Linked DNA regions of Oryctolagus cuniculus. The protein of the gene in region 5 purifies or fractionates together with the protein of the main gene of each other region. This does not show direct contact. Links are inferred from orthologs where the notes say so. Each region holds a gene or a part of one and is shown on either strand. Other genes may lie near its edges.

The links. The genes of interacting proteins can lie anywhere in the genome.
Region 1: the proteins of MAPK6 (region 5) and CEP170 purify together in Homo sapiens (affinity purification with mass spectrometry; 3 studies listed by BioGRID and IntAct, with this or other methods). This does not show direct contact. The link is inferred for Oryctolagus cuniculus from reciprocal best matches to the Homo sapiens genes MAPK6 and CEP170.
Region 2: the proteins of MAPK6 (region 5) and UBE3A purify together in Homo sapiens (affinity purification with mass spectrometry; 3 studies listed by BioGRID and IntAct, with this or other methods). This does not show direct contact. The link is inferred for Oryctolagus cuniculus from reciprocal best matches to the Homo sapiens genes MAPK6 and UBE3A.
Region 3: the proteins of MAPK6 (region 5) and ECI2 purify together in Homo sapiens (affinity purification with mass spectrometry; 3 studies listed by BioGRID and IntAct, with this or other methods). This does not show direct contact. The link is inferred for Oryctolagus cuniculus from reciprocal best matches to the Homo sapiens genes MAPK6 and ECI2.
Region 4: the proteins of MAPK6 (region 5) and ECH1 purify together in Homo sapiens (affinity purification with mass spectrometry; 3 studies listed by BioGRID and IntAct, with this or other methods). This does not show direct contact. The link is inferred for Oryctolagus cuniculus from reciprocal best matches to the Homo sapiens genes MAPK6 and ECH1.

What each region holds. Positions count from the first base shown.
Region 1 is NC_091444.1:63,281,728-63,285,800, reverse strand, and holds the start of CEP170 (centrosomal protein of 170 kDa), read left to right. Parts: upstream 1-1,273; 5' UTR 1,274-1,414; intron 1,415-1,962; exon of another isoform or gene 1,963-2,286; intron 2,287-4,073. Other genes in the region: SDCCAG8 (serologically defined colon cancer antigen 8), read right to left, coding at 224-464.
Region 2 is NC_091443.1:14,372,259-14,376,558, reverse strand, and holds the start of UBE3A (ubiquitin-protein ligase E3A), read left to right. Parts: upstream 1-1,500; 5' UTR 1,501-1,605; coding exon 1,606-1,625; exon of another isoform or gene 1,626-3,446; intron 3,447-4,117; exon of another isoform or gene 4,118-4,256; intron 4,257-4,300. UniProt on the Homo sapiens protein: E3 ubiquitin-protein ligase which accepts ubiquitin from an E2 ubiquitin-conjugating enzyme in the form of a thioester and transfers it to its substrates.
Region 3 is NC_091436.1:166,179,968-166,184,028, reverse strand, and holds the start of ECI2 (enoyl-CoA delta isomerase 2), read right to left. Parts: upstream 2,801-4,061; 5' UTR 2,740-2,800; intron 1,544-2,739; exon of another isoform or gene 1,087-1,543; 5' UTR 1,001-1,086; coding exon 893-1,000; intron 1-892. UniProt on the Homo sapiens protein: Able to isomerize both 3-cis and 3-trans double bonds into the 2-trans form in a range of enoyl-CoA species. Has a preference for 3-trans substrates.
Region 4 is NC_091449.1:15,908,542-15,912,727, forward strand, and holds the start of ECH1 (delta(3,5)-Delta(2,4)-dienoyl-CoA isomerase, mitochondrial), read left to right. Parts: upstream 1-1,386; 5' UTR 1,387-2,674; coding exon 2,675-2,726; intron 2,727-3,026; coding exon 3,027-3,234; intron 3,235-3,320; coding exon 3,321-3,409; intron 3,410-4,186. UniProt on the Homo sapiens protein: Isomerization of 3-trans,5-cis-dienoyl-CoA to 2-trans,4-trans-dienoyl-CoA.
Region 5 is NC_091443.1:74,672,804-74,677,078, reverse strand, and holds the start of MAPK6 (mitogen-activated protein kinase 6), read right to left. Parts: upstream 2,801-4,275; 5' UTR 2,426-2,800; intron 1-2,425. Other genes in the region: RNA polymerase-associated protein LEO1, read left to right, coding at 3,471-3,528. UniProt on the Homo sapiens protein: Atypical MAPK protein. Phosphorylates microtubule-associated protein 2 (MAP2) and MAPKAPK5.

The sequences.
Region 1 (4,073 bases), on a different chromosome or scaffold from region 5:
CAAATAAATAATCTTTAAAAAAAAAAAAAAAAGACAACAACTCTGCTTAATCATAAAAACAGCAGCAAACTAGTTCATCCTCGTCAAAGACCAGTAACATCCATCTTCTTCCTCTGCAGCCTGGCTGGGCTGAACCGAGGTGTCCGTTAAGGCACCTGGTCTGCTCCCGCCTAGTAGGCCCTGGATACCTAGGGCCTAGGCACAGAGGTTCGGAGCAACTCACCCCGGAGACTCCGTTGATACTTCCCCAGAATCTCCTCCAGGGAAGAGTTCCCTGGGGACTTCGCCATGCACAGACTCTGGGCCAAGAGATGCGAGTTACGTGGGTTATCGTCCAGTGTTCTCCCTTCCAACAACAGCCCTAGCGCCCGCCCGCCTCCTGCCGCAACTGTCACTGGGGAGCCTGGAACCACGGACGCAGCTCGTGGGGTCTCTTCCCACCCTCGAGCCCTCGTGATGGACATTGGGAGTTGTAGTTCTAAGGCTCTGGCTCTACAGCCTCGAGAATCCTAAGAACCTTCCAGCTGCACTACATTTCCCAGAGGGCACTGCGCTCCTGGCGTTGGCTTCGGCGGTTTGGCTACCACAGATCGTTGCCACGAGACCGGCTTGCGGGCTCCTCCCTTTTCCTCTAAGCCAGCCTGGCTAGTCCCGCCTTCACCCTGTCCTGCAGCAGTCCGGACCACCCGGCTGACAGAAAGGACTTTCTGAAGGCCCGGACGCTTCGATCTTTACTAATATGCAATTGATCCTTCAGGCTTCTCTGGGAAGCGAATAATCTCTGAACCCTCCTTCGGTCGCGACATTTGTCAAAACGGTCCAATTCTTAAGAAATAAGAAACTCTAACTCTCCCAAACAGCCTGGCTTGTAAAGGCGGCCAACACTACAACTCCTAGCATGCCAAGCAACCCGACCTCCTCTTGCAGTTGGCGCACTGCCCGCCGGGAATTGTAGTCCTCGTTGGTTGCAGGTCCCCGCTAGAGCCAGAGTTCTCTTCATTGTTCAGGCCGGTCTTTGGGGACACGCCTGCGCAGTGGGCAGCAGGCAAGGCGTGTGAGACCCTCCGCACAACCCCCTTTCATTGTCTGTGTCTGGCGCCTGCGCAGTAAGAGATCGCTGGGACTGGGCTGGAGGAGTGGATAGGGCCCAGCACCTCGCCCTTTCCCCAGGCGCCTGCGCAGTCAGCGACCGCTCTTTGCCGTTACCGCTATGTGTGGGGCGTGTGTGGAATAACGTTATTGCCCTGCGGAACCGAGGGGCCGGGAGCTCGACCGCAGCTGCAGCGACGAAGGCAGCAGCGGCGGAGACGACGACGACGACGACGGGGTGGGGGAGAGGACGGCGTGCGAGAGACTCACGGGACGCGACGCGCCCCGCCTCCCCCGTCCGGTCCCTCTCTCTTCACGGTGAGGGGTAAGTGATGCGCTCCGCTGCCTCGGGGTGGACGCCGCCGCCGCCTCTGCTTTTCCACAGCCTGCTCGGATTTGCGCCGGGGGCTCGGGGCGCGGCCCCTGGCGTGGCGGGGGTGCAGGGAGAGCCTTCCCGGATGCTCCGCGCGGCGTTACCACCCCCATCGCCCAGGACCTGGGGCTCGGCGGGGCCGCTCCTCCCATCCCCCCATCCTTGATGGCCTCCGGTCCTCGCTCCCCACCCTCCGCCGTCGTCTGGGTCCTCCCGGGCCCGTGGCCGCGGTCTCCGCCTCCCCTAAGTGTACTGAATCGCTTGCAGCTCCCTCCCGGCTTTGTGCAACCCTCCCCCATCGTTGGAGCAGTTTGCGAGGGGTGCGGGCGGAGCATCGGAAGGAATGGCTGCGCTGCCGCTGGGGAAGGGATTTTTTTTTTTCCCCAGTGGGAGCAGCTCCCAGGGCCGAGTCTTTTTGTGTGGTTGGATTTTGGGGTATGAGGCAGTCGGGGGAGGTCAGGCGAGGGCCCTTTGCACGCGTTGGGAGGGCGTGGAAGACGCGGTGTCACGCACCCTGCCAGGCGACTGCACCCGGGGTACATCTCTAGCTGGCTGGATTGTGAACCCCGGGGAAGGGAGAGCGACTTCCTGTCGGCTTCATTGTCCTAAGATTCAAATACAGCGTTTTGGGTCCGCTTCCCTTCCATTTTCTGCGAGGGGGAGAAATACTAGCAGTGTCTTAACACCGGGCGGGAAGACGTGGGATTCGTCTCCCCAGTCGCAGCATCTCTGTTTTGTGGCGTTCGGTAGAGTTTTGATTTATTTTGTCGAAGAATGTGGGGGAAGACACGGACCGTGCTTGCCAGAGTGCACGCACTGTCAAGGTGATCAATGTAAAATTACTAGATGACGTTGAAGGCTGGGCGAGAAGGGGCCTGACAGCCGAGCGGGTGTGTAGCAGGGAAATGAACCAGGAGAATTGTTTTTTTTTTCCACTGGGTGGGTAACGCATGCATGGGTCCTAAGGGAATAGATGAAGCTACGTCTTTCCCTTTTATGTTTTAAAGCAATCCAAACAAAAATAAGGATTGGTGTATTTGTTTCTGAAGCTGTTTGCTCATTTTTATTCTCTTCATGAAAATTCAGCCGTTTGGGAGGAATTTGGTGAAGTGGATGATCCATGCGATTGAAAATGCGTCTTTTAAAATGATTTGCTTGTTAGGATTGTAATGCTTGTAACCATTTGCTGGCGTCTCTGTGTAAAATAAGCCCAAGAAAGAATGAAGTAGGCTGGGGGAGAAGATGGAGGAGTAGTGTGAGTTATATTATAAATACAGTTTCTAGATCTTTACTGATACAACCCTAATTGGGTAAACTTCAAAGCCAGGAAGAAATTCAGCTATCAAATTGTTTTGTAGTTTTCTGCCATTATTTTTTTGAAAAGTGAAAACCAGCACTGTTCTTAGTTCTTCCTAACTTCATAGATACTGTAGAATTTTGCTTTTTTTTTTTTTTAAACGGAACAGTCGCTTGAAAAAAACTAAAACTCACTGATTTGTCTGCCCAAGCCAATGTGCTAACAGAAAGCACAGTCAAATAAAACCAAGGTCTGTTCTACAGAGTGATCTTTACTGTGTGCCCTCACCTTCCACCCTGTGAACATTTATGGAAAGCTTCTGTACTTTTTAATTTGTGTGTAACAGTAAACTTAATTCTCTCACTTGTATTAATCTAGTCCTTCTTTTTGTGATGTAGAAGTAGTAATTCTACTGAAACTGAATTTTAGCTTTACAAAGTAACTTACTAATAAGGGAAGATACCCTAACAGTTCTTTTCATGAAAACAAACTGTTGGAATGTTTTCACTTCTACTTATTAGTAACCATATTTTAATATTATTTCTTGAAATTTAATAGTATTTTATAATATTATGTTCAACTGTGAACTGTTAAAAATAATATTTCTCCATACTAAAAAGCTATGAAGCTTATTTTTCTATGATTAATGAATTTTATTGTTTTCAACTTAGAGTTTCCCTTTGAGAAATGTCATCTTTCTGTTTTTAATTGGGTCGACTTTATAAAAAAAAAGGGGGTTTTATTTATGTCAACTCATAATTTCAGTTCTTTAATTCTGCATTGCATTTTAATAGATATTTTCTTTAGAATTTATTTCACTTTAATTTCAATTTAAGAAGCCTCTGTCATTAAGTTCAGTATGGGGAATCATATTGAAACTTTAAATGCATTTTGCTGGTAAATTTCATGGTGTTCCAAAATTATTTTGTATGGAAATAATCTGCATGTTTCCTGTCCTATTTATCTGTAAACATAAGCATACACTGTGTGTGTGTGCGTGTGTGTGTGTATGTATGTATGTATGTATGTATTAAGGTGCTTTTTGAAACTCTGTACTTGGTGATTTGTTTCATTTGTTCTAAGCATCAGTTTCATGTTCCTTTTACCTACCGGAAAAAAGTTTTATTGTTATATTTGATAATAATTAATGTTCATTACCAAATACTGTATGTATTTAAGGTTTTGTGAACATGTTTTTTATTCAACAGAAATCTGTTCCTGAAAAATACTTCATACTATTTTAATCAATATGTAATGATTTTTTCTTCTGTATCTTAAACATCTTGGGGTTAAATAGTGTGCTAGTGTAGTAAA
Region 2 (4,300 bases), about 60 Mb from region 5:
GAACTTTTTGAAGTATTCTCATCTTTTTATAGTGATTGTAAGTCTTATTTATGGGCATTTCCTGAGATTATTTACATATACTCAGACAACTCCTCACCTTCATCTGGATTTAAAGCCCTGTGTTCATAGCTATGGAAGTACAGGCTCAAGCATTGATGTGTCAGCACTTCTCTATGGGTTCTCAGATACCTTGATGTTTTTTATTTGGCTCTGGGTCCATGCTGGTAACTGCCTTCTGTGCTTGTCTGTTGTTAGTTTGAACGCATTAATTATGAAAGATCATTCCCTTCTAATTTTCTCATCTTCCCTTAGTTGCTCCTCAGATAGTGCCTGAATAATGCAGTTCAGTAGGGGAATTACAAGAGGAAAAACTAATAGTTTGAAAGGATCTCTTGATACAAGGCTATATCACATGTATGCTGTGCTTGCCAAAACCTGTAGTATAATTAAGGAGATCTGCAAAATTTGGACCATGACAATTAGGAAAATTTAGCTGAGGCCACCTTAAAAGGGGGTAAAAGATAACTTGGTTGAAAGGAGGATATAATTTCATAGTTTTATCATAATCTTTCATGAAATTGAATCTAATGAGTTTGACTGGAAAGACTAGGACGTATTTTCATGCAGTAACCAAGGAGTTTTGGCTAATGTGTGGTGAATCTACGTAAATATGGAATAAGTAACACTTTGGTTTGTATATGTGCGTGTGTATGTATATAACTATTTCTTTAAACATTTTCATTTTTGGTGATTTGTTTTCTTCATCTGTTTAAGAACCCTATCACTAAAATGTGTCATATTGAACCTGTTGCCATAATTTTGAGGTCTCAATCCATGTCCTAATTTTTTTGCTCTTACATTAAGTAGCGAAACTAAACCAAAATAAAAATTCAGCCTCCAAAATCCAAACTTCTTTATTCAGTAAATTTGCATTTTATTACTAGTTTCAGCACTAATTCTAAAATCTTGGGCAAGTCAGTTAATCACTCTGAGGCTGCTTGATTTTTTAAAGTTCTTATGTATGAAATAGCTTTATTAGTTAGTCAAGTTGTCTTGAGATTCAAGGTAATTACCAAGCAGAGTGCTTTGTAAACTCATAACATTACACAGAAGTAGAAGGTATTATCACAGATTGAGTTTCCTTTGTCTGAAATAATTGAGACCAGAAATGCTTTATTTCTGAGTTGTTCGGATTTTGAATACTTGTATAGACTTTATTGGTTGAAAAATTCTATAATTTGAAAATCCAAAATGCTCCCAATAAGCCCTCAGATTATTTAGGAGCATTTTGGATTTTCAGGTTAGGGATGTTCAACCTATACCATGTTTTCTCAATGAAAATATCATTTAAGAAAACAAAATGCTGAAGAATAGTTCTTTGTAGTAATTATTCTTCTGATGAATTTTGCATTGACACCTAATTTAAAGTTTCAAATTATTATTTGAACAATGAATTGGATTTATATATTAAAGTGTTCTAACTAAAGATTTGTTTAATTTATTAGAGTTATTAAGCCTACGCTCAGATCAAGTTAGCAGCTAGACTGGTGTGCCAACCTGTTTTTAATCAGTGACTCAAAGCTGTGATCACCCTGATGTCACCGAATGGCCACAGCTTGTAAAAGGTAATTTTGAATGTTATGTTAGAGCCTTTAAAAGGCTGCCATTGTAAAGTGAAATACATGCTGTAAAAATGGAGAAAATGTGTAGTTGGCAGAAACACTGCCAAGAATAGTGGACCTAAGAGTTGATTTATTTCTTCATTTAGTCTCATTCTGAAATATTTATTTTTTTCCCCTCATTCAGAATATCAGTAGCCACCACTGAAGACTTATCTGTGTGGATAAACAGGAAAGCATTTCTCAAAAAATTTCAAGTTGTAACATATAAACATTTTATTATATACATTGTAAAGGAGATTTGTAATATTTCTTAATAAACATTTTAAAGTGTGTCTTTTACGTGGTGGGTGTTTTAATTAAGATACGTTTCTAGAAATTTTTATAACTTTAATAAAACTAGTATACTTTTCTCTCCTAGAGAGTTACAGTGGAGGTAAAAGGAGTGGCTTGCAGGATGGAGAAGCTGCACCCAGTATTATTGGAAGTGAGCCACCGTTTGAATTTGCTAGCTAATGCTGCAGTATTCAGATTAGTGGGTGTTTTGTGATCATACTTTTTGCTATTCAAATCAAGACTTAAAATTGAGACTTTTCTAAGCTGTATTTTCTATTTTTTTAATACTACTTAGTTATGGCTTCGTTTTTAAAATTTTCTTTCTGCTTTGTTACTCTGCTGGTTTAAGATAACAATGGCTTTTTTTTTTTTAATTTAGTAAAATTATGAGCACATAGTGGATTGTAACTCCCAACATCTTAGCAGTAAAGAATAAATAAGCTCTGAAGGAGCCAGAGTAGAGTGTGGGAACTGTTGTATAAGGGGGCCTTAAAAAAATTCATGTCCTGAAAAAAACATGTAAAAATTTAAAAGTTTTTCTGTATCAAAATTGTAATTCCATTTTTCCACAAAGTTTTTGAAGTGCCTTTGTGTGTTTCATAGTTTGAAGAGTTTGTATCCTAACTTTAGGATAATTTTTGGTAACTTTAAAATATTATTGAAATGTTTAAGCAAGATGACTAGAAATTTATTGAGAAATGGATCATTAATACTGCAAGAAGAGTGTTTATTCTCTGTATATTCATTTTTCTCTCGATTTAAAAAACATTTCCTATTTGAATAGAAAGTAATATGCTATATATGAGACCCAGAATAGATTTATTTTAAGGAAAATTTTTCAATTTTTTCTTATTGTTTTGTTCTTTTTCTAGACTGGATTGGTTTAAATTATTTGGTTTGACTCATAGACGGTTTTTAGTAACTCACTTTAACATACATAGATATTAAGTAATTATCTAGTATAACAATAGTGACATTTTGATACAAGTGATCACATACTGTTTAGGGGAAAGAAATTGGGAAAAATTGATGTTGAACTTTATCTCTGTCCTGTTTCAGAATCTCAAGACTTTGCAGCCATTATATGTTTTACTTTAAGGTTTGAGCTTGTTTTCCTTTTTGGCTGTGTCTTTCCTTTTTTTGCAGTACTATTTTAATTTTCCTATCATTAAGTCCCATTTTTCCCCTCACCTTGCCCTGATAATTTTTAGAGTTTGATACCTACATGTTTGAAAGCTTCTAATCTGCCCGTCTTCCCTCAGTGCCAGCACGAATTTAGTTTTTGTTTTGCAAGCCAGCTCTGTCTCTTTATAGTATGATATCTGATGCTAGGGGGTCACACTTGGCAAAAATGAATCAGCTGGTACATGGGCATATCATCAGTTTTTAGCTCTTCTGTCTAAAAGATACTAGTTTGGAAGCAATCTTGGGGTACTTACCCCACAAGGCTGGTAGAGACCAGGTGTGTCACAGAGGTGATTTGCTTGATCCCTGGGGAGAGGGTAGAGTGAAATTTTTACATTGTGTAACTTCAAAGTCACTACCACCTCCAGCATGCTCCGGTTTTTAGTTCTTAAACAATTTTCTATAAAATTTAAATATACTGGAAAGATCTAAAATAAATATTTGAGCTGCTGGAGTATTGCGTCCTTCGAATATGAATAGACTACAGTGAGTGTAACTTTGAAACCCTAATAAAAATTTTTTTTTGAAGCCCATAAATTTGGGGAACATTTTCTTCTAATGACTCTGATTTTAAAATTCTTTTAAGTTTTTTTTTTTTAAGTTGGATATCTGAAGTCTGATAAATTCACAAATCAAGTCCTTATAGTACCAATTTGATATACAGGTTTTGACTTCAAAGAAAATTTTTTTAACCTTTATTACGAATTTGAAACATTAGAAATTGGTATTATGTTGCTGTACATTTTTTTTTTAAATAAATTTGTGTATTTTTTATTTGTAAGAGTAACAGTTTGAGAGAAAGAGAGATCTTCTGTCTGCTGATTTGCTCCCACAGTGGCTGCAATGGCCAAGGCTGGGCCTAGCTGAAGCCAGGAGCCTCATTGAGGTCTCCCACATGGCTGGTAGAGTCTCAGACACTTGGACCATCATCTGCTGCTTTTTCCAGGCCGTTAACTGGGAGCTTGATTGGAAGTAGAGCAGCTGGGACACAAACTGGAACCCATATGAGCTGCCAGCTTTGCAGGTGGTGGCTTTATCCACTACAACACAACACCAGCCGCTGTTGGATTACTTTACAGCAGTGGTTGACTAATGCTGTTTATAAAAATGAATAAGGTAACAGGCTTTTTTTTTTTTTTTATACTGTAATAGTCATGGAA
Region 3 (4,061 bases), on a different chromosome or scaffold from region 5:
TTCCCAACCCCTTATCCCAATTCAACAAGTGTCACATTTTGCCTTGCTTGCTTCATCTATCCTTTTTTTTCTTCTTTTTTGCTTAGTGAATCTCAAACATCTCACCATTTCACCCCTACATATTTACTATAAATTTCTAAAAAATACCAACTTTTTAAAAAAAGATTTATTTATTTATTTGAAAGGCAGAATTATGGAGAGGCAGAGGCAGAGAGCGGTCTTCCATCCACTGGTTCACTCCCTAGGTGGCAGCAATAGCCAGAGCTGGGCCATTCCAAAACCAGGAGCCAGGAGTGTTTTCCGGGTCCCCCATGCGGATGCAGGGGCCCGAGGACTTGGGCCATCTTCTACTGCTTTCCCAGGCCATAGCAGAGAGCTGGATCAGAAGTGGAGCAGCTGGGACTTGAACCGGTGCCTGTCTGGGATGCTGGCACTGCAGGTGGCAGCTTTACCTGCCACGCCACAGCACTGCCCCCCTCCCCAACTTTTTTTTATATAATGGTGACACCATTCCTGGGTATCTCCTAACACTTAGTCCTTATCCAAATGTCCCCAATTGTCTCAAAATCTGCTTTTCAGTTGGTTTGTTCTAATCAGGAGCCAAATAAGGTCTACACATTCCAGTGTCATCTCATCTAAGTCTCTTTTACTTGGCAGTGGTCCTGAGGGGTTACTGTGTTCCTTAACTGGTTCAAGGCCTCCTGGACCCCAAACCCCCCCCCCCCCCCCACACACAGACACACACACACACGCTCTGAGGAGGAGAGGCCGCGATTCAAACGCAGCTGCAGGTTAGCACACACAGCTGGTCTCCTTCAGGAGTCATGGGCTCCAGCGCTCTCGGCGCTCACTGCTTACACAGTGCGTAGAGGCGGAGCCCTCGGGCGCTCACCTGCTTGTACAGGGCGTAGAGTCGCAGCTTCACTGCGTTCCCCGGGTCCTCCTTCAGGAGCTGCAGCTGGCTCACCGCCTTTTCCAAGTCCTTCTCGCTGGCTCGCATCGCCGCGGGGCTCGGTGCAGCTGTAAGGCCAGGAGAGGCCTGCAGGCGGGTGCGCTGGCTCCTAGGAAGGCCACGTGAGCTTGGCCCTGGGAGGGAAGTCAGCAGAGAGCATACGAGGCAGAGGCGGCAGGAGGCCGAAGTGCACAGCCAGGTTCTGAAACGGCCTTTGCCCTGGCCGATCAACAGTGTTTGCGCTGGCAAACGTCTCTCCACACACACGCAGGTGCAGGCCTCATGGCACGGCGGGTCAAGCTGCCACCTGGGACTCCCACATCCCGCAGCACACAGTGCCAGGTTCAAGTCAAGCCTCTGTTTCCAACCCAGCTTCCCCAGAGGATGGCTCAAGGACTTGGGTTCCTGCCCCTCAAGTGGGGGACCCAGCTCCTGGCTCCAGACTTTGACCTGGCCAGGCTCTGGCTGCTCCAGGCATTAGCTCAGCTCCTGGCAGACTTAACTGGTCGGAACTGGACGTTTCAGGTACAACAAACCAGTGGCTGGAACACAGACCTTTCTCTGTGTGCCTTTCAAATAATTAAAAATAAACTTTTAAAAACATTTATTTTATTTGAAAAGCAAAGTTACACAGAGAGAAGGAAAGTCAGAAAAGCAAAGTTAGAGAGAGAGAGAATGAATAAACTTTAAAAGCACACAGGCTGGGCTGTGGCGTAGCAGGTTAAAGCCGCCACCCACAGTGCCGGCATCCCATGTGGGCGCTGGTTCGAGTCCCGGCTGTTGCACTCCCGATCCAGCTCTCTGCTAGGGCCTGGGAAAGCAGCAGAAGATGGCCCAGGTCTTTGGGCCCCTGCACCCATGTGGGAGACTTGGAAAAAGCTCCTGGCTCCTGGTTTCAGGTCAGCTCGGCCCAGGCCCTTGGCGGCCATTTGGGGAGTGAACCAGTGGATGGAAGACCTCTCTGTCTCACTGTGCCTCTGCCTCTCTGTAACTGCCTTTCAAACAAATAAATAAATCTCTTTTTTTTTTTTTAAAGCATACATGCAGTGGGAGGAGGCAGGACATGGGTGAGAGACACAAGAAATCAAGACAGAAAGCCCGGCGTTCAGGACGCGAGGCCAGGGTCTTCCCCGCAGTGGGCGGGGGCGCGGAGCAGGCACCGCAAAGGCAGCAGGCGGGGCGGGGGCGCCAACACCGGACCCCGCGGACCCGCGAGCAGATGCGGCCATCACGGCCGGTGCACCCGGCGGGCTCAGGCCCAGCCACGCTGCCACCTCCAACCTGCAGGCGGCACCGTGAGCCCCGTCCGAACCCTGGGATACTGGGTTCGGTAACGCCAGCCCATAATAAGCCTTAGCGGTTCTGAGGGGGAGGGGTTGTTTTGTTTTTTCCGGAAAAGGACGAAACTGCCTCCGTCAGGAGTCTGGCCCCGGGCGACTCCAAGTGGAGGATACGGTCACTCGTAAACGCTCCCAAAGCTGGCGTGTGCACGGGCACACGGGCGAAACGGGTTTTTAAAAATAGAGCACGGGCTTGGGTCGCAAACAGCCACGCAGCAGGACCCAGTCGCCGGACCCCACGTCGCCCGGCTCGGGGTCGCTCTGCGGCCGCGGCACGGAGCCCAGGCCGGCCGCGCCTCCCGCCGCCCAGCGCCCGCGCGTCCAGGCGGCGGCCGCTCTGCACCCTCCCGCCGCGAGCCACCAGGGCGAAGTGCCGCGGCCGCCCAGGACACAGAGGGCGGCGCCCCAGGCCCGGCGGACGACCTTGGCCCTGGCCGCGAGGCTTACCTCGGGGACCGGAGCCGCGCCGGCTTCCGGCCACTCTCCACGGCGAGCGCTGGGCCAATGAGGGGCGCGCGGGGGCGGGGCCTGGACGGGGGCGGGGCTGCGGGCGGGGCGGGCTCGGGGGCGGGGCCGCGGCGGGGGCGGGGCCGCGGCGGGGCGGGGGCGGGGCCGGTGGGCGGGCCTGGCTCGGGGACCGGAGCCGCGCCGGCTTCCGGCCACTCTCCACGGCGAGCGCTGGGCCAATGAGGGGCGCTCGGGGGCGAGGCCTGGACGGAGGCGGGGCCGCTGGCTGGGCGGGCTCGGGGGCGGGGCCGGTGGGCGGGCCTGGCTTCCGGCCACTTTCTCCACGGCGAGCGCTGGGCCAATGAGGGGCGCTCGGGGCCGGGGCCTGAGGCGGGGGCGGGGCCGCGGCGGGGCGGGGCCAGGGGCGGGCCTGGCTCGGGGGGCGGGGCCGAGGGCTGGGCGGCTCGGAGGCGGGAACCTGGGCTGTCTAAACCAGGTTGCCCAGGTGAGTGGCCCGCGGGTGTTTGCTCGGGGAAGGATTTCCAGGAGTTTCGGAAGGGCCTCGGACCGCCCTACTCGGCCCGGTGCCCCCAGGGGACGAGGACTTTTAAATCAGTGCGCGGCGTCAGGTGCTCAGAGCGCTCGGGGCCGTGGCAGGTCCCGAGGCCGGGCCGCGTGTCCACGCGGGTCCCGGGAGGCTGTCCCTCGCGGCTGGTCAGCCCGCGCCGGCCCCGCTCCCAGAGGGTCTCTGCTCGCTGCCTCGCTTGCTCCAGGGGGTCTCGGGGCTCAGGTGCAGCCGGCTGCGTGGGCGCCTCGTCCCGCGGGGGAGCGCAGGTTCTGTCTGCTCCTCGCAACCCACGCCCGGACCCCAGAGACTGACCCCCGGAAGCCTCGTGCTTCCTGGAACATCTTAGGATCTATTTAGCACGTTCGGGGCCTTTAGATCGCACACCTGCGTTTTGAGTTGGTCTGTCACGCCGCGGGGTGTGAACTTGCATGTTTTCAGGAGTCTAAATTGATCACTCACAGATTTCCTGGTTCCTCACGCCTTCGTTTTGATGAGTTCAGGGTTGCGTGTTTTCATATGCTTCCTCATTTTCAGGCAGCACGGTGTGTGCTCAGTTTAACGTGTTCATCAACTTTGTTCATCAGAATATTAAGTAGATATTTACATAATTTGAGAATAACAAAGAATGCGACAGTTATTCCAAGAACCGTGAGGGTTCCCTTAACAAAGCCTTGAAATATTCCCAAGGGCGACCGTGCGCCAGGCAGGTGTGCCGGGCAGGTGTGCCGGGGGTGACAGCTCTGCACACGGAACC
Region 4 (4,186 bases), on a different chromosome or scaffold from region 5:
TATTGTACATGTGATTTTTTTTTCCTGTTCATACATTTGTGCTGCCCATGTACTCTTGGCACATTTCAATAAAAATTGTTTGGAAAATAAAGACCAAACTTGCTGGGGTGTCAGGACATGGTGCCTCCCTCCCTCCCACTCAGTCTTCTGCAGAGGTGCAGGCAGGCCAGGGTGCAGACTCAGGATTGACGCTGGAGTGGAGCCGTTTGGCGAGAAGTCTGGCAGGCCCGGTGGCGTTGTTAGTGGGCCCTGCCCAAGCCAGGGCCTAGCTCCAGAGTGGCGTGAGGGAAATGGCAGGCTGGGTGTACAGCACGTGGTTGTCACCACTTGAGATGCCTGCGTGGAGTTCTGGCCACTCCACTTTGCATCCAGCTTCCTGCAAATGTACACCCTGGGAGGCAGCAGATGGTGGCCCGAGTGCTTGGCCCTTGCCACCCATGGGGGAGACCAAGGTTGATTCCTGGGCCTCTAGAAAATGAACCAGTGGATAGGAAGGAGGTCTGTATCCATCTTTGAAATAAAATGAAAATAAAAAGTGAATGGTGTTAAAAATTTAAAACTTCCAGAGAGACCCCATAATGGGCCTTAATTCTAAAAAGTGAACACCTGCTATTTAGTAAGTTTGAGGTTAGCAGTTTTTTGTGAATTTTTCCCTGAAAAGAATGTTCTTGGCATTGTATGGTGTCCTGTCTTCCACGTTCTGAGCTGGCTTCCTTACCCTTGCCACTGTCATTTACTTAACCCCGTCGTAAAGGTGTTCCGAGGTGTGTGGCTACCGCAGCAGCACTGCAGTGTGTCTACGAGCAGCCTGCTACCCTGATGCTACTCTGGACGCAAACTCCTGCTGGTGGCGTGGGCTGAAGGCTGGGGCAGCAGTGGCAACGGGACGTTGTGTCATCCCCCTCCCTCCCGCTTGAAGATGGGAACCTGTAAAGATGGCTGGCTCGTGGGGGGTGCGGTGCAGTCTGACATGAACTTGGCTTAAGGACTTTGACCTACACAGAGATGTGGCCTGCAGAGGAGGGGGTCACAGCTTCACCTTGGGGTTCACTACATGTACTTGAACACTTGTTTTGTGAGCTTCCTGTAAGGACGTTTTGAAACTTAACACTTGGCATCTGAAGCCAGATGGCTTCTGTCGGAGAGCGGCTTCGCCAGGGGAGTTTGAAACCTCTGGATGAGGAGAGACTACAGTCACCTTGCTGCCATAAACTTGGAAACCCACTAGCGTTGGCTTTTACTTCTTATGTGAGGTTTATTTTTTTTAAAGATTTATTTATGTATTTGATAGTAAGAGTTAACAGGAGAGGCAGAGAGAGAGGTTTTCCATCCACTGGTTTACTCCCCAATTGGCCACAATGGCTGGAGCTGTGCTGATCTGAAGCCGGGAGCCAGGAGCTTCTTGTGGATCTCCCACGTGGGCCCAGGGGCCCAAGGACTTGGGCCATCTTCTGCTTTCCCAGGCCATAGCAGCTGGATCGGAAGCAGCCAGGACTGGTGCCCATATGGGATGCTGGCGCTGCAGGCTGTGGCTTTACCTGCTGTGCCACAGTGCCAGCCCCTTTATGTAATGCTTTGATAAAGACACATTGTCTGATGATCAAGTCAGCTTAATTGGTATATATATATTACCATAATTTTGTGATGAAAACGTTCCAGAACCACCTTAGCTGTTTGGAAATAGACAATATGCTGTTAACCTTGCTGTGCAAAAGAATAGGTTTTTTGTTTAACAGGAAGGGAGAGACTTTGTTGGTTCACTCCCCAAATGGCTGCAGTGGCCAGGGCTGGGCCAGCCAGGAGTTTCATCGGGGTCTGTCACACAGGTGGAGTGCAAGCACTTGGGCCAGCCTCCGCTGCTCTCTGCACACTAGTAGGGAGCTGGATCTGAAGTGGAGCAGCCGGGACTCAACCAGTAACTATGGGATGCAGGTGCTGCAGGAGGCCCCCTAACCTGCTCTGCCCCAGGATCAGTGTTTTCCCAGTATGCCCTGGGGCGCAGTTTCATCTCCTGTTAGCACTCCTTGCAGGGACAACATCCCATGTGTGTGCAACCTAACCTTTTACAGCGAAGCATCCTACCAAATGTCCTAAAGTTGTATCCTGTCACATCTTGGAAGTCTGGGTAGGAGGTCCAGTGTGCTCCAGTGGCCCTGCGGACTGTCCCCCACGGCAGAGCCTGCCTATCCGGGCTAAAATCAGGAGACATGCGCGTTAAGCAGCGTCCCCTCCACCCACTGGCCCGCAGCCCCTGGCATTTCCGGGCGTTTTCCGAGGGCTCTTTCTGCGCCCGCGTCCTTGAGCTAGACGCCCGCTGCCTAGATCCCGCAGCCCGCCTGTGATCCCGTGCCTTTACCGCATGATCTCTTCACCAGTTAACATGAAGTGACTGCGGCCATTGCGTCCTTGGACACAGGACCGGGCTGTGATAAACTTTACCCCGCAGTCATAACAGTTGTTTCCTCGGGCACGGTTCCCACTGGGACAAAGTTTTAACGCTTAAGCCTCAGCATGCCGGCCGGCTTGCGGCGCTGTTGCTGGTTGCCCTTAGTAAAGATGGCGGAAGGGGCGCTTTAGGGCTGTTCCACTGCGGCTTCCGTGCCCTCACCTGACATGGCGGCCTCTTGGGCCCGCCCCTTGGCTTCCTCCCGCCGGGTTCCACGACTCGGTCCCGATGGCGACGGCGATGGCGGCCACTCGCGGTCTCCGCGACCTGCTGATGCGGCGTGAGTCACTTCCTGACCTGTGGGGATCTGTTGTGCTGTCCAAGCGGCTGTAGGACCACTCGGGGTCACGGAGGGTCCTCGCGCCCCCGCCTAAAGGGTTACTCATTACAGTCTGGGGGCACTGATGACTCCATGTCCCCATGGGTCTGGAACCACTGAGCAGTGCACCCTGATGTTAAACCCAAGTCTCTGAGGGGCCGTGTTCCCCGCCTGTGGGGCCCTGGTGCGCCCTCTGCTCTCAGAAGCGCTGTGTGCCCCCTCGGGGGTCCTCAGAGGCCCTTCCTTCCTCTGTCTCCCTAGGACTGGCAGCTCCCAGCTGCCCGGGCTTCAGCCTTGGCCTCCGCCCGCTGGGCACCTCCGCCCACGGCGAGGCCCCCAGAGCAGCCCCCTGCGAAGCCCCGGGCCACAGCTACGAGTCCCTCCTGGTGACGGCCGCCCAGAAGCATGTCCTGCATGTGCAGCTGCACCGGCCCGACAGGAGGAATGCCATGAACAAGGCTTTCTGGAGGTCTGGCGGCCCTCGGGGTGGCCGGGGTGGGGGACAGACGGATGGCCGTGAGCCGGTGCGGCCCCTCATCCCTGGCTCCTCCGCAGCGAGATGGTGGAGTGCTTCAACAAAATAGCGCAAGACTCCGAGTGCCGGGCCGTGGTGATCTCCGGGGCGGGGAAGATGTTCTCGTCAGGTACCTGCGGCGCCGCGCACCCCGCCTCCCCGCGCCTGGCCACAGAGCCGCGCTTCCAACTAGCGCCTCGATCCTTTCTTTCTTGAAGTCCTCACTTAAGGCATTCAGCTCTGGAAAGTAGCCTTGACCTCTGAGAGCCTGTAGCCAGGAGCAGAAGCGCGTGGGCTCCCAGCCCTGGCCCTGCGTCTTTGACCTCTGAGAGCCTGTAGCCAGGAGCAGAAGTGCGTGGGCTCCCAGCCCTGGCCCTGTGTCCTTGACCTCTGAGAGCCTGTAGCCAGGAGCAGAAGCGCGTGGGCTCCCAGCCCTGGCCCTGTGTCCTTGACCTCTGAGAGCCTGTAGCCAGGAGCAGAAGCGCGTGGGCTCCCAGCCCTGGCCCTGTGTCCTTGACCTCTGAGAGCCTGTAGCCGAGTTGGCCTGGCGCTCCCACACCCTCGCCTGCTGGGCTCGCCTGCATTCTTCGCATTTCAGCTGTCCGTTCTGATTTCCATGGGGTTTATTTTAAAAATTTTCTATTTCTGTGCTGAAGTTTCCTTTCTGTTTGTCATGAGCTTTTTTTTTTTAATTTTTCTTTTTGTTTAAGATTTATTTTATTTATAGAAGAGGAGGAGAGAGTAAGGTCTTCCTTTTGCTGTGTTCGCTCCCCAAAATGGCCCCAACCACTGGGGTTAGGCCAGGCCAAAGCCAGGAGCCAGGAGCTTCCTCTGGGTCTCCCACATGGGTGCAGGGGCCCAAGCACTTGGGCCATCTTCCACTGCTTTCCTCCATGCATTAGCAGGA
Region 5 (4,275 bases):
CCATCAGATCAGTGCAGTGCGCCGTCCGCAGCGGCCATTGGAGGGTGAACCAACGGCAAAGGAAGATCTTTCTCTCTGTCTCTCTCTCTCTCACTGTCCACTCTGCCTGTCAAAAAATAAATAAATAAATAAAACTATAATTTCCTTCTAAAACTGAAAAATTCTTCAGATGTTTTAGAATCTCATTTCTCCCCAAATCTTTCATATGAAAAACTATGTTTGCCACCATTTCATATCCCTTCATCAGCCATTGCAAGGACCCAATTCACCAAGGAATCTAATAAAGACAGACTGTGAGGGAATGTCCTGTGTTTTCCAAGAAATGAGCTGCCACAGTGTTTTCTTACTGCTCTAGACAGAAACTGCAGGGTTCCTCTCTTCCTCTCTTCAGTTTAGCTCAACCTGTTCCCTTCCAAAAGCCACTCTTGCCACAAAGTACTTTCAGAAAAGCCACACGATCCTTCTGTGGAGTGGCAATTTACCATAAATGGAATGAATTTTCAGTTAATACATTTTGTTTAATCAAACTGTTGTTTTTTCTCTAAGTCTTTAAGATGATATAGAAATCAAACACATATTCCTGTTTTGTGACTTGATGTAGGCTTATCTTTTATACATTCCAAAAGGCTTCTATTACCTTGTAAAAATATTTGTAATGATATACTGACTGTATTATGTAACCAACCTAGTTGAATCTTTGTTCTTTTATTGGGGTCATCATGGTACTCTGAGGCTCTACCTTCACCTCATGAATTACAACATGAGACAAAAGGGACAACTTTTCAAAAATAGGGAAACAAAGTAAAGTTACTCTAGGGTTGTTTTAGTTATTTATATACCAAACGGATGAACCTCTCCATTCCTGGAACAAATGGAGGGTTTATTTTATCATTCAAAATTGAATCAAACAACCCAAACAGGATGAGACTGTCTCTGGGAGTAAACGTGATTGTTTTAGTACCCTGAACTTCAATTATATTGATTTGGGTGTAACTCAAGCTATGTTTCAGGCAAGAACTACTGGAGAATGACTGTGATGGACTTAGCTGTACCCCATCTCATGTATTCTATTCTGTGTGAACAAAGACAGCCAGGAGAAGAGCAATGATCAACATAAAGTCCAGCAAAAACAAAACCAATCAATCTATCAAGCAGTCAGAAGTTATTTGTTTTGCACTATTCCGATGGGAAAAAAACACATTGATTCTGCTAGTCAAGGATATGGGCATGATTATTCAGCAGGCTTTGTTGTAATCCAATTTATCACAATTTAATCAACACACTTTTCAAGGAGAGTACTTTAAACAAATCAACAAAAACTGAATCACTAACAAATTGCTTTTCCAGTATTCCAGTTAGATTTAAGGTGATCTGTATGTATCCTCTTACATCATCACTTTTTACATAGCAATTTTAGGATTAATGATAATATAACCTGTTCCACACCTTAATACTTACCCATTTGAACCCTGTCAGGCACTCCTATTTGCAGCAAAAATATATCTCATAATCCCCAAATTAAAAATTCATTGTTGCTTGCCAAGACCAAAACCTACATAGTAGCCTAATCAGGCAGTAACTTAACACAAGGGATACATTTTAAAGACTAAAAATGAATGAGTTTTTCCTAGAGACCTGGTTCTTTAATCTGTGCAAACCACTTTATTTCTTGGAGCCTTTGCAAAGTAAGGGGGTTTGTGTAGCACTGACCATGAGAATTTTTTTACTGTCTGACTTTATAATGCCTTACTGCAGCAACATCAAAATTTTCTTTGCAAAACAAAAAATCCAGTGGAACCTTCTGAAAAACATTTTTCTACTTGCAGGTTACAATCTGTTAGAAAATCATGAAAGCAACATACTGGGTTGTACTGCCTGCCAACATTTTTAGGAAACCAAAGCTGAGGGGCCGGCGCTGTGGGGCAGTAGGTTAATCCTCTGCCTGTGGCGCCGGCATCCCATATGGATGCCGGTTCTAGTCCTGGGTGCTCCTCTTCTAATCCAGCTCTCTGCTATGGCCTGGGAAAGCAGTGGAGGATGGTCCAAGTCCTTGGGCCCCTACACCCACATGGGAGACCCAGAAGAAGCTCCTGGCTCCTGGCTTCAGATCAGTGCAGCTCTGGCTGTTGTGGCCATGGAGAGTGAACCAGGGGAAGGAAGACCTCTCTCTCTGTCTCTTCCTCTCACTCTCTGTAACTCTACCTCTCAAATAAATAAATTCTAAAAAAAAAAAAAAAAGAAAAAGAAAAAGAAAGAAAGAAACCAAAACTGAAATAGGGTAATAGGAAAACTCAGTAGGAAAAGAAAATAGTGTTCTGTGAAATATTTGTTTCAATATCATGTGTTTTGGTGTGCTTTCCATCACTGACAAAATACCCAAGAAAACGAATTTCACAAAACAGTACAGGTGTAATAAAATGCTCACAGTTCCGCAGGTTCAAATCCAGCATCTGGCAGGCGTCACTGGTTCGCACTCCGGTGCTGGTGCTCTTCCGGGCACTGACGGAGCAGCGCAGAGCTTCACCGGCAAGAAGGCGCGTGTGACTCCGTGCACCGGCGTGTAACACAGCCACCAGGACTTATTCGCGGGGGCTTCACCTTCATGTCCAGTCCAATCCAACTACCTCTAAGGTCCCGCTTCTGAAAGCTGTGATTGCTTTGTTTCCACCCTTTTAGTATCGTTCACCTATGACATGAGGTTTCAAATCCTGTGTGAGTTCAAACCATAGCGTTATACGTAAACAGAGCTGCAAAGGAACAAGCTATGGCTCTTGCGAAGCTCTTCTAAAGCTGCAGTCATCAAGTGTGGTCCCACGAAGCCCGTTTCGGGGCATCTCAGAAAGTCGCCCCTTGCCAATTACTACCTCTCTAGCTAAACTCGGATTTTCTTCATCTGCTACCACCAAAACATTTCTAAGCAACTGACTTAGAAGCAGAAATAATTCAGCTGTGTATTTTATGCTGGATATTAAAGATTTCTTCAAAACTTTAAAACCATTCCACTCGTCTAAAACTTTAGAAAAGAAGTCATTTAAAACTTACCCCAAACCCACTATTTAACGTTTATTATCTTGAAACGAGTTTAGCACTTTTAAAATGTCTGCTTTAAATACTAATACGGTAAGTAGCCATGGGTATAAACCATCTAAAACAAAAGTTCTTTGGAATTCTCCACAATATTTAAGAGGGTGAGAAGAGGTCTGGGAAACAAAGGACTTTGGGCCTGATTCCGGATGGCCCGGGGGTCTTTCCCCAAAGCACCGCCCGCTCCGCGGGCACGCCCACCCCGTGAGAACAGACCCCGACGGAGGAACCGCGCCACCCAACCGTGTGGACGCGGAAACTAGGTCATAGAGGGAAAGGAGTCTTTTAAGCATATCTTTGCGACACTGTCGCGTTTCGTTAGTTCCGTGCCGTAAAGAACGGCGTGGGGCCGCCCCCAGCCGAGGCTGCAGCGGACGTGAGCGGCAATGGCGGATATGGAGGATCTGTTCGGGAGTGACGCCGACAGCGATGCGGAGCGTAAAGGTGGGGTGGGCCACGATCGGCAGGCGGGGTGCGCGGCGGGGCCCGGCCTGGCGTCCGGTTCCGGTCCGCGGGCGAGAGGTGGTGCTTCCTCTGCTCCTGCCCCAGCGCCCCCTGCACTCCCGGAGGTGCCACCCTCCCCTGGCGGGCGGGCTGGTCTAGGCAGACACACGCAAGAGTCTGTGCCTTGCGGTTCTGGGTGACCGTGGAGCATGCGGTGCCTGCCTGGGAGCACGGAGAGCAAAAGGGCGCGGGGCAAGGTGGGGGCGCGGGCCAGCCTGCGCAGCCCGGAACCTTGGGGTCCTGCTGTCCTGCGGTGCAGAACAAGGGCTGTTTGTGAATGAATGGGGTGAGGTGTTCAGGACCGTGGGGACGGGGTGGGTGATTTACAGAGGGGCTCGGAATGCTCTGTTAACGACGCCGGAGCCTGGCGCTGGCCGGCAGCTCGAGATGTCTGGATGCGGAGTCTGAGCAGCATACGGGGATGGAGCTACTCACCAGCGCTTTGCACTGGAGACATTGTGTCCCGTGAGCGCCAGTGCAGACACTCCAGGGTTCTGGAGTCTGCGGTATTAGGTTGGAGAGCTTATGGGGCTCGTGTGGGAGGAGGAGTGGTGCGGGATGTGTTGATGAAATGAATGCATGGATGTGTGTTTATGGTGCGTCAAGTGTTTCTGGCACAGAGACTATGGATGTTTGAGTTTGAGATATGAATAGGAGTTATTTGAAGTTGAAAAACGCCCGCAAAAC